2 linked regions of the Macaca fascicularis genome follow. The protein of the gene in region 1 interacts with the protein of each later gene in a biochemical or structural test. Links are inferred from orthologs where the notes say so. Each region holds a gene or a part of one and is shown in the gene's direction. Other genes may lie near its edges.

Region 1 (8,004 bases):
CTAGGGAAAAACACAGATATGCACAGGGTTAAGGGGACCCAGGGTATTATGTGTCCCCTTGTTTCACAGGTGGGGAAACAACCCAGAGAGGGAAAGGGGCTTGTCCAAGGCTATGTTAGCACCCAAGAACTTGAACCCATATCTCTCTCCTCCTCATTTAGAGCTCATCCCACATGTATCTTACATTGAGAGGAGTGTGAGCCACATACCAAGAACAGTCTTCCCCTCTGCCTACATCCTCACTGCGCAGTTTTTAGACACTTCACAGCCATACTCTTCATGCCATACCCAGCCCTCTAGACCCTGAAGTTCCCCTTCCATAAGACAAGTAGGAAAAGCTATAGGGTAAAAATAGCCATCAGTGTTTGTTGAGCACCCAGGGGGGAATTGGCCACTCCAGAAAGATAAAGGAATTCTCAGGGACTTGCTTGTCTAGACTTCCTAGCTCAGCTGCTTCAACTCATTCCTGCCCCTCTTCTCTACCTCCTGCATTGCTCAGAAGTAGTAGAACTCATTGTGTCCTCTCACCTTGCATTGTTGAATTTTATTTAGACTTTCTCTTCCTCAGCTCTTCATAAGCTCACGAAAAGTGAAGTAGGGTGCCCTGTGTATTTATCTTTTATATCTGCAGTGCTTAGCAAGTTATAATAATGCACTTGCCTGGCAAAAGACTTTCTCTCATACATTAGCTTATTTCCTCTTCACATTGGCTCTTTGTAATAATGGGATGCTATTAGTTGTTTTCAATGAGAGAAAGCTACTAAGAGAAGTTGTCCAGCTAGTGACAGGAAGTGGCTGATAATGTGAACTGCCATTACATTGTCATTATCATGTTTAATAAAAGTTAACACATACTGAGTTTCTACTATATTTGGTCTTTTTTTTTTTTTTTTTTTTTTTTTTTTTTTTTTTGAGACGGAGTCTCGCTTTGTTGTCCAGGCTGGAGTGCAGTGGTGCAGTCTCGGATCACCACAACCTCTGCCTCCCAGGTTCAAGCAATTCTCCTGCCTCAGCCTTCTGAGTAGCTGGGACTACAAGCGCAAGCCACCATGACTGGCTAATTTTTGTATTTTCAGTAGAGATAGGATTTCACTATGTTGGCCAGGCTAGTCTCAAAACTCCTGACCTTGTGATCTGCCTGCCTCAGCCTCCCAAAGTGCTGGGATTACAGGTGTGAGCCACCATGCCCAGCCTATATTAGGTCTTTTATATAAGCTATCTCTGTCTATCCATAATTTTTTTTGAGACGGAGTCTGGCTCTGTCACCCAGGCTGGAGTGCAGTAGCATGATCTTGGCTCACTACAACCTCCACCTCCTGGGTTCCAGCGATTCTCCTGCCTCAGCCTCCCGAGAAGCTGGGATTACAGGTTCGTGCCACCACGCCCGGCTAATTTTTTGTATTTTTAGTAGAGACCGGGTTTCACCATATTGGCCAGGCTGGTCTCGAACTCCTGACTTCAAGTGATCCACCTGCCTCGGCCTCCCAAAGTGCTGGGATTACAAGCATGAGCCACTGTGCCCAGCTGCTCTCTATATTTTTAATACATATTATTTCCTTTAATTTTCACAGCAGTTCATTTTATAGATGAGGAAACTAGGCCAGAGAAGTAAGTAAAATATCTTGCCCAAGTTGACGTAACTAGTAAGTGGCAGGATCAAGATTCAACCCAAGCAATGTTGAAACCTCTTGGAAACAACGATATGGCCACTGTGGAAGGTGGAAGGCCTTGACAACGAGAATAGGGAAAAGAAGGAACTAGAAGGAAAGAAATGGCATGGGCTCAGCAGGCCAATGAGCTCTTAGCTGTGTGTGTTGGGAAGCTCAGAAGGAAGGAGGAGGTTGTGCAGGTAAGTCCTGACAACACACCTGACTTTTGAGAGGTGGGATTCATAGCCAGGTGATTAGGGGAGAAGGGAGCTATGGATTTTTTTTTTTTTTTTTTTTAAGAGACGGGGTCTTACTATGTTGCTCAGGCTGGTCTCGAACTCCTGGGCTCAAGTGATCCTCCCATCTTAGCTTCCCAAAGTGCTGGGATTACAGGCATCAGCCACCCCGCCCAGCAAGCTGTGGATCTAACATATACATCTTTTTTTTTTTTTTTTTTTTTTTTTTTTTTTTTTTTTTTTTTGAGACGGAGTCTCGCTCTGTCGCCCAGGCTGGAGTGCAGTGGCCGGATCTCAGCTCACTGCAAGCTCCGCCTCCCGGGTTCACGCCATTCTCCTGCCTCAGCCTCCCGAGTAGCTGGGACTACAGGCGCCGCCACCTCGCCCGGCTAGTTTTTTTTTTGTATTTTTTAGTAGAGATGGGGTTTCACCATGTTATCCAGGACGGTCTCGATCTCCTGACCTCGTGATCCGCCCGTCTCGGCCTCCCTAAGTGCTGGGATTACAGGCTTGAGCCACCGCGCCCGGCCAAACATATACATCTTACACGTTGCTAATAGAATGTTGGGTTTCTTCCCCAATATTTTATTTTGAAAAAAATTTCAAATATGTAAAAAAGTTGAAAATGTAGTTCAAATAACACCTACATACCTTTCACATAGATTCATCATTTGTTAATGTTATGCCACTTTGTGTCTCTCTCTCCCTCTGTCTATATACTTTCATTTATTTATTTTTGCTGAACTATTTCAGAGTAACTTAAATGCATCTTGACTTTTACCCTTAAATAGTTCAATATGTTTCTCCTAAGAATTCTCCTATATAAGTCAAATATCATCACATCTAAGAAAATTCACAGTAATTTTACAATATAATATTATAGTCCAAATCCAGATTTCCTCAGTTCCAAAAAATGTTCATGGCTGTTGCCTTTTTTAATCTAAATTTGAATCCAAGGTGTAGGCATCATATTTGGTTGCTGTGTCTCTAGGCTTTTTTAAATCTGTGCCTTTTCTTCTCCCCATGACTTTTTAGAAGAGTCAAGACCAGTTATCTTATAGAATAACCCACATTCTAGATTTGCCTGATTAGTTTTTTTATACTTAACATATTTTTGGCAAGAACATTACATTGGTAATGCTGTTGGTGATGGGTCAGTTTTGAAGAGTGGAGATGATCAAACTGCTTTTGTTCATTGAAATATCTGTCAAGACCAGAGGTCCTTAACTGGTGCCATAAATAGGTTTCAGAGAATCCTTTATATACACACACACACACCCACCTAAATTATATACACATCTTCCTTATATGTGCATTTTTCTAAGGGAGGCTTCTTGGCTTTTATCAAATTCTCAGAGGGCTCCAAGACCCAAAGAGGTTGTGAAACACTAGTCTGTCCACTGAGGCAGGCAACACAGAGCTGGTTTCTGGGGCCTTATTCACTCTGAACCAGCTTCCCTTGGGGAGATAGCACAAGGCTGTAGCTTTCCCCCATCTTGGCTTTGGATCAAAGAGGACTGTCTATTTTGTTGTCAGACCTAGGAGCCAGGGACAGCCTATGTGGCCCGGTTCCAGGGATCCAGGAGAATTTCAGTTCTTGTCTTGCCTTTCAGGTGTTCAGAATGCCAGGATTCCCTCACCAACTGGTACTACGAGAAAGATGGGAAGCTCTACTGCCCCAAGGACTACTGGGGGAAGTTTGGGGAGTTCTGTCATGGGTGCTCCCTGCTGATGACAGGGCCTTTTATGGTGAGTGAGTCCCTTCATATCTGCCCCTCTTGGTCTTCAGAGTCCATTGACAGTGCTTCCAGTTCAGTCCATTGACAGTGCTTCCAGTTCCCCGTGGCTGTTCATCTTTTGGTCTTTCCATCAGCCAGGGCATCTCCCTTTATTCATTCATTCATTCAACCAGCAGGTATCAGCTGAGCACCTATTAAGTGAAAGGTAAGATCCTTCCCTCAAAGACTTAATAGTTTAGGCCGGGCGCGGTGGCTCACGCCTGTAATCCCAGCACTTTGGGAGGCCGAGACGGGCGGATCACGAGGTCAGGAGATCGAGACCATCCTGGCTAGCACGGTGAAACCCCATCTCTACTAAAAAATACAAAAAAAAAACTAGCCGGGCGAGGTGGCGGCGCCTGTAGTCCCAGCTACTCGGGAGGCTGAGGCAGGAGAATGGCATAAACCTGGGAGGCGGAGCTTGCAGTGAGCTGAGATCCGGCCACTGCACTCCAGCCTGGGCGACAGAGCGAGACTCCGTCTCAAAAAAAAAAAAAAAAAAAAAGTTTAATGTTGGGAGTGGGAGGAGAGGCAGGCAGAGAGGAGACACAGTATAGTTGGATAAGGACCTCAAAGGAGACTGTTATAGGCTGAAAGGAGGATATACCTAGGTTGTGTTCAGGGAATAAGAAAAGGAGACTCTGGAATGGGCTGGCAGAGAGAGGTGCTACCTCTTATACCCACTCTGGACACAGGACTTTAAGCATAGTCACAGACTTGCTAACCCTGTATTGGAGGAACTGTGATCTTTTTTAGTGGGGATGATTACTTCTGGGGACTTGTTCTCATAACTGAAACGAAAACAGTTTTGTGCAGTCTCAGAAATGACAGGAGGTACCAATCTGACACTTTCTTTGGAAGCTCTAGGGCAGAGAGTGAAAGAGTGGATTTTGACTGGGGCCTTGATTGGAGGTCATTCACCTACCCCTGTCCTCACTCCAGCAACAGTGATAACTCACTTCCTTCCTCCCTTTGTGCACCCTTCTCCCCACCTGCTCACAGGTGGCTGGGGAGTTCAAGTACCACCCAGAGTGCTTTGCCTGTATGAGCTGCAAGGTGATCATCGAGGATGGGGATGCATATGCACTGGTGCAGCACGCCACCCTCTACTGGTAAGATGGTAGTCCTTTGTCTATCCTCTCCCATATAAGAGTGGCCTGGGGGAGGGACGGTGGCAGGGTGAGTTGGGCAGAGTGTTAGTGTAGTCAGAGCATTGGATTCCTATCACAGCAGTGCTCTTAACCAGCTCTTTAACTTGTAAGCAGAATGATTTACACATGTCTCTACCCTTTTTTCTTACCTACCTTGAAAATGTCTTCACTCTGCCCTGCAGTCCTCCCAGTGGGAGGCACCTTCAAGGAGGATCCCAGAACATTAAAGTCAAAGACCCCTTAGAGCTCACCCTGTCCAACCACCTTGGTTGATGAAAGAAGTCAGCCTGGAGCTCATGGAATAGAATAGTACAAGGGCAAGGTTCTCATTGTGAGTCAAAGGCAGAGTGAAGAGAACCCAGGCCATCTCACCCCAACCCAGGCCAATGTTCTTCCAAATATACCACTTGCTGCAGATCCAGCTCAGCACCCCCAGTCCCAGCCCACCCTGAGAACCCAGGCTCCTCATTCTGAGCAGCCAGCTAGAATCATGACAAAGAGGGTGGTAGTGAGACTATAGGTACTGTTGCTTAAAGCCACATGGTGCAGTGGTTGCTGGGGGGCTTCTGCATGGGACTCTAGCATCATACTCCCCCCTGTGCCCTCTCCCCAGTGGGAAGTGCCACAATGAGGTGGTGCTGGCACCTATGTTTGAGAGACTCTCCACAGAGTCTGTTCAGGACCAGCTGCCCTACTCTGTCACGCTCATCTCCATGCCAGCGACCACTGAAGGCAGGCGGGGCTTCTCTGTGTCCGTGGAGAGTGCCTGCTCCAACTACGCCACCACTGTGCAAGTGAAAGAGTAAGTATTTTGAGAACCCTTCAGCAGGGGTTCTTGAGCAGAGTCTGTAAATGGGCCTCAGAGGGCTTAGATCTCCAAAGTCTCATGCAGAACTCCCTTTATTCTCATCTCATATCTTTCTCCTGGACCCCACTATGCTGTAACCACACCTGGGCCTTGGCACTTATTGTTCTCTCTGTCCAGGCTACTTCCTACCAGATACTTAAGGCCAGAATCACTCATCTTTCAGGTGTCAGGTTTCAGATCATGTTTGCTCTTTGAAATTATCTGGCTTGATTATGTGTATTAGTTGTTTATCTTCTTTCCCCTCCACTAGAATGTAAATTCCAGAAGGAACTTGCTGTCTTGTTCAGTGCTGCATGCCCAGGGCTTGGAACAGTACCTGGCATATAGTAGGAGTTGGTTGATTATTATTTTGTCAGTTGAGAGAGTGAACGGAGAAAATGTGGTCTATGGCCCAAAAGAAGTTAAGACCCTATCCTAGATTGAGGCCAGAGACCAGATGGAGAAAGAGTCTGTGTCTATCTCATACCAGTAATGTCGTACCTCTGGCTGCTTACCATGTAAATGTTGATTTTGCATCTACCATGTGTTGGACACTAGGCTAGTGCTTGCACAGTAGGTGAAAGATACTAGAGTTTGGGAAGGCAGGAGCAGCTAAAGTCTGTTCTACCACCTCATTAGATGAAGAGGAGAGGGAATTGTGTTCAGGGCAGAGGGAGAAACATTCTCCAAAAGTGGGAGTCTTAATCATGTCTGATGTAGGTTGGGTGTGGCCAAAAAAGGGGCTGTTAAGCATACAGAGGGCCTGGATTATGAAGATCCAGCAGATCCATTGAGAGTTTAAGCAGCAAGCTGTTGTGACCAAGTTAACATTTTAGAAGGATCACTGGTACGGAGGTTGGATTGGAGAGGGGAAAGCCTAGAGGTATACAGACCAGTTAGGAAGCTGTTGTAGGCTGGGCATGGTGGCTCATGCCTGTAATCTCAGGACTTTGGGAGGCTGAGGTGGGAGGATTGCTTGAGGCCAGGAGTTCAAGACCAACCTGGCCAATATAGCAAGACCCCATCTCTATTTTTTAAAATTAAAAGTCCAGATATAAGGCCGGGTGCGGTGGCTCACGCCTGTAATCCCAGCACTTTGGGAGGCTAAGGCGGGCGGATCACAAGGTCAGGAGATCGAGACCACGGTGAAACCCCATCTCTACTAAAAGTACAAAAAAAATTAGCCGGGCGCGGTGGCGGGCGCCTGTAGTCCCAGCTACTCAAGAGGCTGAGGCATGAGAATTGCCTGAGCCTGGGAGGCGGAGGTTGCAGTGAGCCCAGATCATGCCATTGCACTCCAGCCTGGATGACAGAGTAAGACACCATCTCAAAAAAAAATTAAAGTTAAAAAAAAAAAAAGAAGCTATTACAGTGATCCAGGTAAGAGATGTGAATAACTACAATGATGGAAAGAAGGCAGAGTTCTTAGAGATGGGAGTAGGAGAGGGATGAGGGAACTCCAAATGGGGAAGATGATGTCCAAGTTTCTGGCTTAGGCCACAGGGTGGGTGGCAATTCCCTTCACTGAGATGGGGCATCCTAGAAAAGGTGTTGCCTTTCCATGTGGATATCCTGGGCCCTTTAGGGGCAACTGGTGGCCTGGGACCTTCCCTGCACAAGCAGAATTGGTCAAGCAGGTTTTTAGGACATCTTTACCCTGCCTTAACTTTTGTCTGGCCCAGGGTCAACCGGATGCACATCAGTCCCAACAATCGCAATGCCATCCACCCTGGGGACCGCATCCTGGAGATCAATGGGACCCCGGTCCGCACACTTCGAGTGGAGGAGGTAGAGTGTGTGTCTAATCTGTCTTGTGAGGGTGGGACATGGAATAGATCCTCTGGGAAATCAGGCTATAGCCTTTACCTTTTCCTACCGCCAGCCCATCTCTTTGTCTTAGCATTGAGCCTGTGACCACTGATGACCTATTACAGCTTAACAGGTTGCCAGGGTAGCAGGGATGGTTGACGGATGGGAGAGCTGACAGGATGCCAGGCAGAGGGCACTGTGAGGCCACTGACAGCTAGAGGCCACCATTAGCCAAGTTGAGCACTGGCCACACTGTGCCTGAGTCATCTGGGTTGGCCATGGGTGGCCTGGGATGGGGCAGCCTGTGGGAGCTTTATACTGCTCTTGGCCGCAGGTGGAGGATGCAATTAGCCAGACGAGCCAGACACTTCAGCTGTTGATTGAACATGACCCCGTCTCCCAACGCCTGGACCAGCTGCGGCTGGAGGCCCAGCTCGCTCCTCACATGCAGAATGCCGGACACCCCCACACCCTCAGCACCCTGGACACCAAGGAGAATCTGGAGGGGACACTGAGGAGACGTTCCCTGAGGTG
Region 2 (8,004 bases), on another chromosome or scaffold:
ACACTCATGCAATCACCACTCAATACAAGACAAAAAAAATTTGTATTTCTTTAGAAAACTCACTTGTGGCTGGGCACAGTGGCTTATGCCTCTAACCCCAGCACTTTGGGAGACCGAGCTGGGCGGTTGCCCTGAGTTCAATTCGAGACCAGCCTGGGCGACATAGCAAGACCCTGTCTCTGAAAAAAGAATATAGATATATATTTTTTAATTTATAAAGAAAGCTCACTTGGGCCGGGTGCAGTGGCTCATGCCTATAATCCCAGTACTTTGGGAGGCCGAGATGGGAGGATCACGAGGTCAGGAGTTGATTCGAGACCAGTCTGGCCAACATGGTGAAACCCTGTCTCTACTAAAAATACAAAAGATTAGCTGGGCATGGTGGCAGATGCCTGTAATCCCAGCTACTTGGGAGGCTGAGGCAGGAGAATCGCTTGAACCCAGGAGGCAGAGGTTGCGGTGAGCCAAGATTGTGCCACTGCACTCCAGCCCGGGTGACAGAGCGAGACTCCATCTCACAAAAAAAAAAAAAAAGAAAAAAGAAGAAAGCTCACTTGTGCCTCTTCCCATGATCTGATTTCTATTGCCAAGATTAGTTTTGCCTGTTCTAGGACTTCATATAAATGGAATTAAACAGTACACTTTTGTGCCTAGCATCTTTCACTCATCCTGCACCTGTGGTGTTGTATGTATTGATTGTTCTTTGTATTGCTGAATAGTATAGCATTGTATGAATTTGTTTATCCATTTTTGTGTTGATTGACATTTGGGTTGCTTCCAATTTGGGGCTATCGTGAGTAAGACTTAGGAGCATTCCTTTTTTTAAACTTATGTTTTCATTTCTCATGGGTAAATACCTAGGAGTGGAATCCTGGATTATAAAATAGATCTGTGTTAGCTTTTCTAGTGGATGCTAAATGCTATCTCATTGTTATTTTAATTTGCATTCTCCTCATAACTAATAATAGCAAGAATCTTTCATGTCATTGTTAGCCATTGTGTATCTTTTCTTAAGTTTTTTCAAGTCTTTTGCCCATTTTTAAATTCGGTTGCTTATGTTTTTAAGATTGGTTTTTTTTTTTTTTTTTTTGAGACGGAGTCTCACGCTGTTGCCCAGGCTGGAGTGCAGTGGCGCGATCTCGGCTCACTGCAAGCTCCACCTCCCGGGTTCCCGCCATTCTCCTGCCTCAGCCTCCTGAGTAGCTGGGACTACAGGCGCCCGCCACCGCGCCCGGCTAATTTTTTTTGTATTTTTAGTAGAGACGGGGTTTCACTGTGGTCTCGATCTCCTGACCTTGTGATCCGCCCGCCTCGGCCTCCCAAAGTGCTGGGATTACAGGCTTGAGCCACCGCGCCCGGCAAGATTGGTTTTTAAGAGTTCTATATGTATTCTGAATAAAAATCCTATGTTAGAAATATGTAATGCAAATATTTCCCAATCTGTTGCTTGCCTGTTGATTTTCTTAATGGTGTCTTTTAATGAGGATCAGTGTACCAATTTTTAAAATGTTTTCTGCCTCTTGTGGTCCGTGTTTGGTAAGAGGTAGTTGTTTAGGTCAGGTTGGCTTTTTTTCCCCCACATAGGTATCTGGTTGTTCCAACAGTATTTGTTTTTATATATTGACCTTGAATCATTTAATCTTGCTTTGCACTTAACAGTTTTATAGGGTTGTGGGGTTTTGGGGTCAATTCCACAGGGCTTTTCTACACATAGTCATTCCTCTGTATCTGTGGGTTCTGCATCTGTATATTCATCCAACTATGGATTAAAAATGTAGTTAGGCCTACTATGGTTGTGTCTGTACTTAATATGTACAGATTTGTTTTCTTGTCATTATTCTCTAAACAATATAGTGTAACAATTTCCATAGCACTTACATCGTATTAGGTATTATATCTAGAGACAAGTTTAAATATACAGGAGGGTGTACTTAGGTTATATACAAATACTACACCATTTTTTTATCTTTTCTTTCTTTTCCTGTCTCGTCCCTCCCTCCTTCCCTCACCTTCTCTGTCTTTCTCTTTCTCTCTTCAAAATCCCCAGAGGATTTTGGTATCCTCCAGGGTCCTGGGACCAATCTGCCACGGATACCACGAGACAACTGCATACAATCATGTCATCACCAAATAATGAGTTTCACTTCTTTCTTTCCAATCTGTATGCCTTTCTCACATGTATAGATTCATATGGCCACCACCACACTCAAAATACAGAACAATTCCATCACAAGCATCCCTGTGCTACTCCTTTTGTAGCCAAAAGGCAGCTTCCTTCCTCCACCTCTCCCTAATCCATAGCAACACTAATCTATTCTCCATCTCCATAATTTTGTCTCTTCAAGGGTGTTATATGAATGGAATCAAATAATGTGTAATCTTTTATGATCAGCTTTTTTCCCATTCAGTATAATTCCCTTAAGATCAATCCACGTATGATTTGTTTTTTTCTTACAGAGTAGTATTCCATAGTGTAGATGTATCTCAGTTTGCGTACCCATTTATTTGGGTTGTTTCTAGGTTTTGGTTATTATGAATAAAGCTCCTGTGAACATCTATGTGGAGGTTTTTTTAAATAGATATAAAATTTTTAATAAATTTTTGTTTCTTGGAATTAAAGGCCTAACAGTGCAATTTGCTGGGTTATATGGTAAGCATATGTTTAGTTTTCTAAGAAATCGCCATATTCTTTTCCAGAGTGGCTCTGTAATTTTACGTTCCATCAGCAGTATATGAGTGATTTACTTTCTCCGCATTCTCACCAGCATTTGGTGTTATTACTATTTTTATATTTTTTTAACTCTGATAGATGTGTAGTGACACTAATTGTGGTTTTAGTTTGCATTTGTCTAATAACTGATGATGTTGAATATCTTTTTATGTGCTTATTTACCACCTGTATGTCCTCTTTAATGAAATGTCTTTTACAATAAATGAGTTTTTGTAAATGGCCTATATTTATTTTCATTTTAGTAAACTGTTTCACGTTAGACCTGTAACCCAAGGAGATGTGTATAGAGCTGAAACTGAAGAAATTCCTAAAATATTCCAGGTAAAAATCTGAAGTTATAATTTTAAAGAATCTAAGTCCTAAGTGTTTTTGTGAAGTAAATGTAAAATTTACCAATGCTTAAGATTTTAAAAATCTTTTCCTTTCACCATTCCTGAATGTAGATACTATATGCAAATGAAGGTGAATGTAGAAAAGATGTAGAGATGGAACCAGTACAACAAGCTGAAAAAACTAATTTCCAAAATCACAAAGGCCATGAGTTTATTCCTACACTCTACCACTTTCCTGCCAATTGTGATGCCTGTGCCAAACCTCTCTGGCATGTTTTTAAGCCACCCCCTGCCCTAGAGTGTCGAAGATGCCATGTTAAGTGCCACAGAGATCACTTAGATAAGAAAGAGGACTTAATTTGCCCATGTAAAGGTAAGGTATGGCAATTATTGTTACAACTTATAATAAATTTAGTTTTCAGTCTCAATGAAATAACTTATGTGTATTAATTTCTATACCAAGTTGAAAAGAGATTATAAAAAGTAATATTTTGACACTGGTGGAGCAATGTGCAGCTACTTACAGATTTAGCTTTTAAGAATGTTTTTATTGGCTGGGCGCGGTGGCTCAAGCCTGTAATCCCAGCACTTTGGGAGGCCGAGACGGGTGGATCACGAGGTCAGGAGATCGAGACCATCCTGGCTGACACAGTGAAACCCCGTCTCTACTAAAAAATACAAAAAAACTAGCCGGGCGAGGTGGCGGGCGCCTGTAGTCCCAGCTACTCGGGAGGCTGAGGCAGGAGAATGGCGTGAACCCGGGAGGCGGAGCTTGCAGTGAGCCAAGATCACGCCACTGCACTCCAGCCTGGGCGGCAGAGGGAGACTCTGTCTCAAAAAAAAAAAAAAAAAAAAAAAAAGAATGTTTTTATTTATTTTTGTTGATTGATTGAGATAGAGTCTCACTCTGTCTCGCCCAGGCTGGAGTGCAATGGCGTGATCTTAGCTCACTGCAGCCTCTGCCTCCCAGGTTCAAGGGATTCTCCTATCTCAGCCTCCTGAGTAGCTGGGACTATAGGCATGTGCCACCACACCTAGCTAATTTTGCATTTTTAGTAGCGATGGAGTTTCACCATTTTGCCCAAGCTGGTCTCGAACTCCTGACCTCAGGTGATCCACCTGCTTTGGCCTCCCCAAAGTGCTGGGATGACAGGTGTGAGCCATTGCACACCCGGCCAACAGTGTTTTTAAAGAGAATCACCCCCTTGTAAACAAACAAAAAAACCAAACATGCCACTAAGAAATTACTCCAAGTTGGAGAGGAGAGCAACAGGTGAGTTCTACTCTATTCCGCCCTTTAGTTTTTCCTCTTCTTTTTGTCTGGCATTCACTGCCTGGATCAGCATGCATGCTGTATCATAGACAGAATATTTTCTAGTTTAGCAGAGGTAGCTTGAGGGAAAGAATACAGACCATAGCTATTTTCAGATAAGAAACGTATGTTCTTTAAACATTTATTTGTTTTACTTTTTTTTTATGTTTCTGATTTTACTTTATTAGTTTGACTAATTTATTTTTAAATTTTATCCTTATTTAACTTAAGGAGAATGAGATATTGTTCATGCTTAATTAAGTATATTAAAACTTTTAAAATCTTAAGAACTTGAAAAACTATGCATTTGATAGGTTGGATTTAAAAAAAGATATGACTTTAATTATGCTTTTTTTTCCTCCTTAACATAGTAAGTTATGACGTAACATCAGCAAGAGATATGCTGCTGTTAGCATGTTCTCAGGATGAACAAAAAAAATGGGTAACTCATTTAGTAAAGAAAATCCCTAAGAATCCACCATCTGGTTTTGTTCGTGCCTCCCCTCGAACACTTTCTACAAGATCCACTGCAAATCAGTCTTTCCGGAAAGTGGTCAAAAATACATCTGGAAAAACTAGGTAAGGATTTGAAATGCTAACCTTTTTAACAATGTGAAAATGATTGGCTAACATCTATTAAAATCAGAAATCTAATTCTTTTCACCACAGAGGGCATCATTTTTAGGTCTTTGTATATGACTTGCAGTGACTTTATAAATTAGTTTGACTTATTCTTGTTAGAATTTAAAAATAATAATACATGCAATATTATATTTATTTAGTTCTGTGTCTAATTTTATTGTCATAAGTTGCTGTACATGGCATAGTTTTAGCCCTTAATGCTTTAACCAACTTGTGAATTTTTTTAATGCAGAAATTCATATAAAACTTTTAATCATCTTTTCTGTTTTTTAACTGTGTTGGCATAGTTTTTCTACAAAAACCAAGATTGTTTTTCCCTTCTTTGTTAACTTCCCATACTATCGCAACATACAAAATTATTTGGTATTATCAGTGACTATTTTTTTTAATTATTGTACTTTAAGTTCTGGGATATATGTGCAGAACCTGCAGGTTTGTTACATAGGTATACATGTGCCATGGTGGTTTGTTGCACCCATCAACCCATCATCTACATTAGGTATTTCTCCTAATGCTATCCCTCCCCTAGTCCCCCGACCCCCCGACAGGCCCTGGTGTGTGATGTTCCCCTCCCTGTCTCCATGTTTTCTCATTGTTCAACTCCCACTTATGAGTGAGAACCTGTGGTGTTTGGTTTTCTGTTCCTGTGTTAGTTTGCTGAGAATGATGGTTTCCAGCTTCATCCATGTTCCTGCAAAGGACATGAACCTATCCCCTCGCCACCCCCGCCCCCTTTTTTTTTTTTTTTGAGGCAGAGTCTTGCTTTGTTGCCCAGGCTGGAGTGCAGTGGCGTGATCTCGGCTTACCACAACCTCAGCCTCCTGAGTAGCTGGGACTACAGGTGCATGCCACCATGACTGGCTAATTTTTGTATTTTTAGTAGAGATGGGGTTTCATTATGTTGGCCAGGCTTGTCTCGAACTCCTGATCTCATGATCCACCTGCCTCTGCCTCCCAATGTGCTGGGATTATAGGTGTGAGCCACCATGCCCAGCCGAACTTATCCTTTTTTATGGCTGCATATCAGTAACTATGTTATTACAAACAAACTTCCCAGTTAAGTCCTACTTCTTTTGTTGTTTAACTTTTTTTTGTTTTTTAAGACAGAGTCTCACTCTGTCACCCAGGCTGGAGTGCAGTGGCGGCACTGTCTCAGCTCACTGCAACCTCCACCTCCCAGGTTCAAGCAATTCTCCGACCTCAGCCTCCCAAGTAGCGGGGATTACAGATGGATGCCACCATGCCTGGCTAATTTTTGTCATTTTAGTAGAGAGAGGGTTTCATCATGTTGGCCAGGCTGGTCTCAAACTCCTGACCTCAAGTGATCTGCCTGCCCCAGCCTTCCAAAGTGCTGGGATTACAGGCATGAGCCATCACGCCTGGCTGTTTAAATATTTTTGATGGACTTTTTTCCAAAAATATCTTTTATGCCATGATAAACAATTATAAGGCATAACCATTCATTCATTCATTCATTCATTCATTCATTCATTCATTCATTTTGAGACAGAGTCTCGCTCTGTTGCCCAGGCCAGAGTGCAGTGGCACAATCTCAGCTCACTGTAACCTCTGCCTCCTGGGTTCAAGCTGTTCTCCCACCTCAGCCTCTTGAGTAGCTGGGATTACAGGTACACACCACCACACCCTGCTAATTTTTGTATTTTCAGTAGAGATGGGGTTTCACCATGTTGGCCAGGCTGGTCTTGAACTCATGACCTCAGGTGATGCACCCTCCTGGGCCTCCCAAAGTGCTGGGATTACAGGCATGAGCCACCACACCCGGCAATTAACTCTTTCTTGGAGAGAAATTATGAAATCTCATCTCATTAAGTTCTCATTTTACTCATTAGTAAATAAGGCTCAGAGAAATTAAGCAGTTTGCTCAATCACAGAGCCAATGGATTGGAGGCCATTTCTGTCCAATTCTAAAGCCTATGTTGTCCAATTCCAAAGCCTCTATTCTACCACATACCAGCTTCCCTAGAGTGTACTCCCTAGATTAATAGGGCCATTTGAATCTAGAAGCTGAGACCTAACACTGATTGGCCTCGCTGCCAGTGTCACCCACATCTTCCAAGCAGGCTTAAAGCCATCTTGAATTCATCTCTTTTGTTCATTCCCTGTTGTCAGTAACCAGGCCTAATTCTTTGAAATGACTTATATCCTTTCCTTCTCAGCCACCACACTATGCCAGGTATTACCACATCACTGCTAACTTAATTCTGTAGAATGCTATGTCAGCCTTCTCCTGAACATAGGGTGTAAACTGGATCTAAAGTGATTTGAAATGGGATTATAGCTGAGTAAGAAAATGTGCAGAAACAAAGAGGAGAGAATACTAAGTATATTTTTCCTATTCCTTGTTTCTCAAATTTTGTGTAATTGTTAATTGTATGTAAAGATAATGTATATTTACCTTTCCTCCTAATGTTTGTTTCTTGTATTCTTAAACAGAGTGCATTTCTTAAATTAGTTTTTTTTCCCCCTCCTCAACAGTTAACCATGTGACCGAGTGCCTTGTGGAGTCGTGTGGATGCTACCTGATAAACCAGGCTTCTTTAACCATGCAGAGCAGACAGGCTGTTTCTTTGACACAAATATCACAGGCTTCAGGGTTAAGATTGCTGTTATTCTGTCCTTGCTTTGGCACAACACACTGAGGGGTTTTTTTTTATTGCGGGTTTGCCTACAGGTAGATTAGATTAATTATTACTATGTAATGCAAGTACAATTGGGGGAAAGCTTAGGTAGATGTATTTTTTTTAAAAGGTGCTGCCTTTTTGGATTTATAAGAAAATGCCTGTCAGTCGTGATAGAACAGAGTTTTCCTCATATGAGTAAGAGGAAGGGACTTTCACTTTCATGTGGAACGGCCATCACTATCAAGATCAGCTCATGGAAGGAGTAAAGAAAATATCTCAAAATGAGACAAACTGAAGTTTTTTTTGTTTGTTTGTTTTTTTAAATGACTTAAGTTTTTGTGCTCT

What was found.
Region 2: of the proteins of LIMK2 (region 1) and ROCK1, one has a biochemical effect on the other in vitro, tested with the Homo sapiens proteins (2 studies listed by BioGRID). The link is inferred for Macaca fascicularis from reciprocal best matches to the Homo sapiens genes LIMK2 and ROCK1.

What each region holds. Positions count from the first base shown.
Region 1 is NC_088384.1:20,381,299-20,389,302, reverse strand, and holds part of LIMK2 (LIM domain kinase 2), read left to right. Parts: intron 1-3,498; coding exon 3,499-3,634; intron 3,635-4,665; coding exon 4,666-4,775; intron 4,776-5,427; coding exon 5,428-5,616; intron 5,617-7,343; coding exon 7,344-7,449; intron 7,450-7,804; coding exon 7,805-8,001; intron 8,002-8,004. UniProt on the Homo sapiens protein: Serine/threonine-protein kinase that plays an essential role in the regulation of actin filament dynamics. Acts downstream of several Rho family GTPase signal transduction pathways.
Region 2 is NC_088392.1:68,802,138-68,810,141, forward strand, and holds part of ROCK1 (rho-associated protein kinase 1), read left to right. Parts: intron 1-2,973; coding exon 2,974-3,052; intron 3,053-3,174; coding exon 3,175-3,436; intron 3,437-4,746; coding exon 4,747-4,954; intron 4,955-7,513; coding exon 7,514-7,517; 3' UTR 7,518-8,004. UniProt on the Homo sapiens protein: Protein kinase which is a key regulator of the actin cytoskeleton and cell polarity.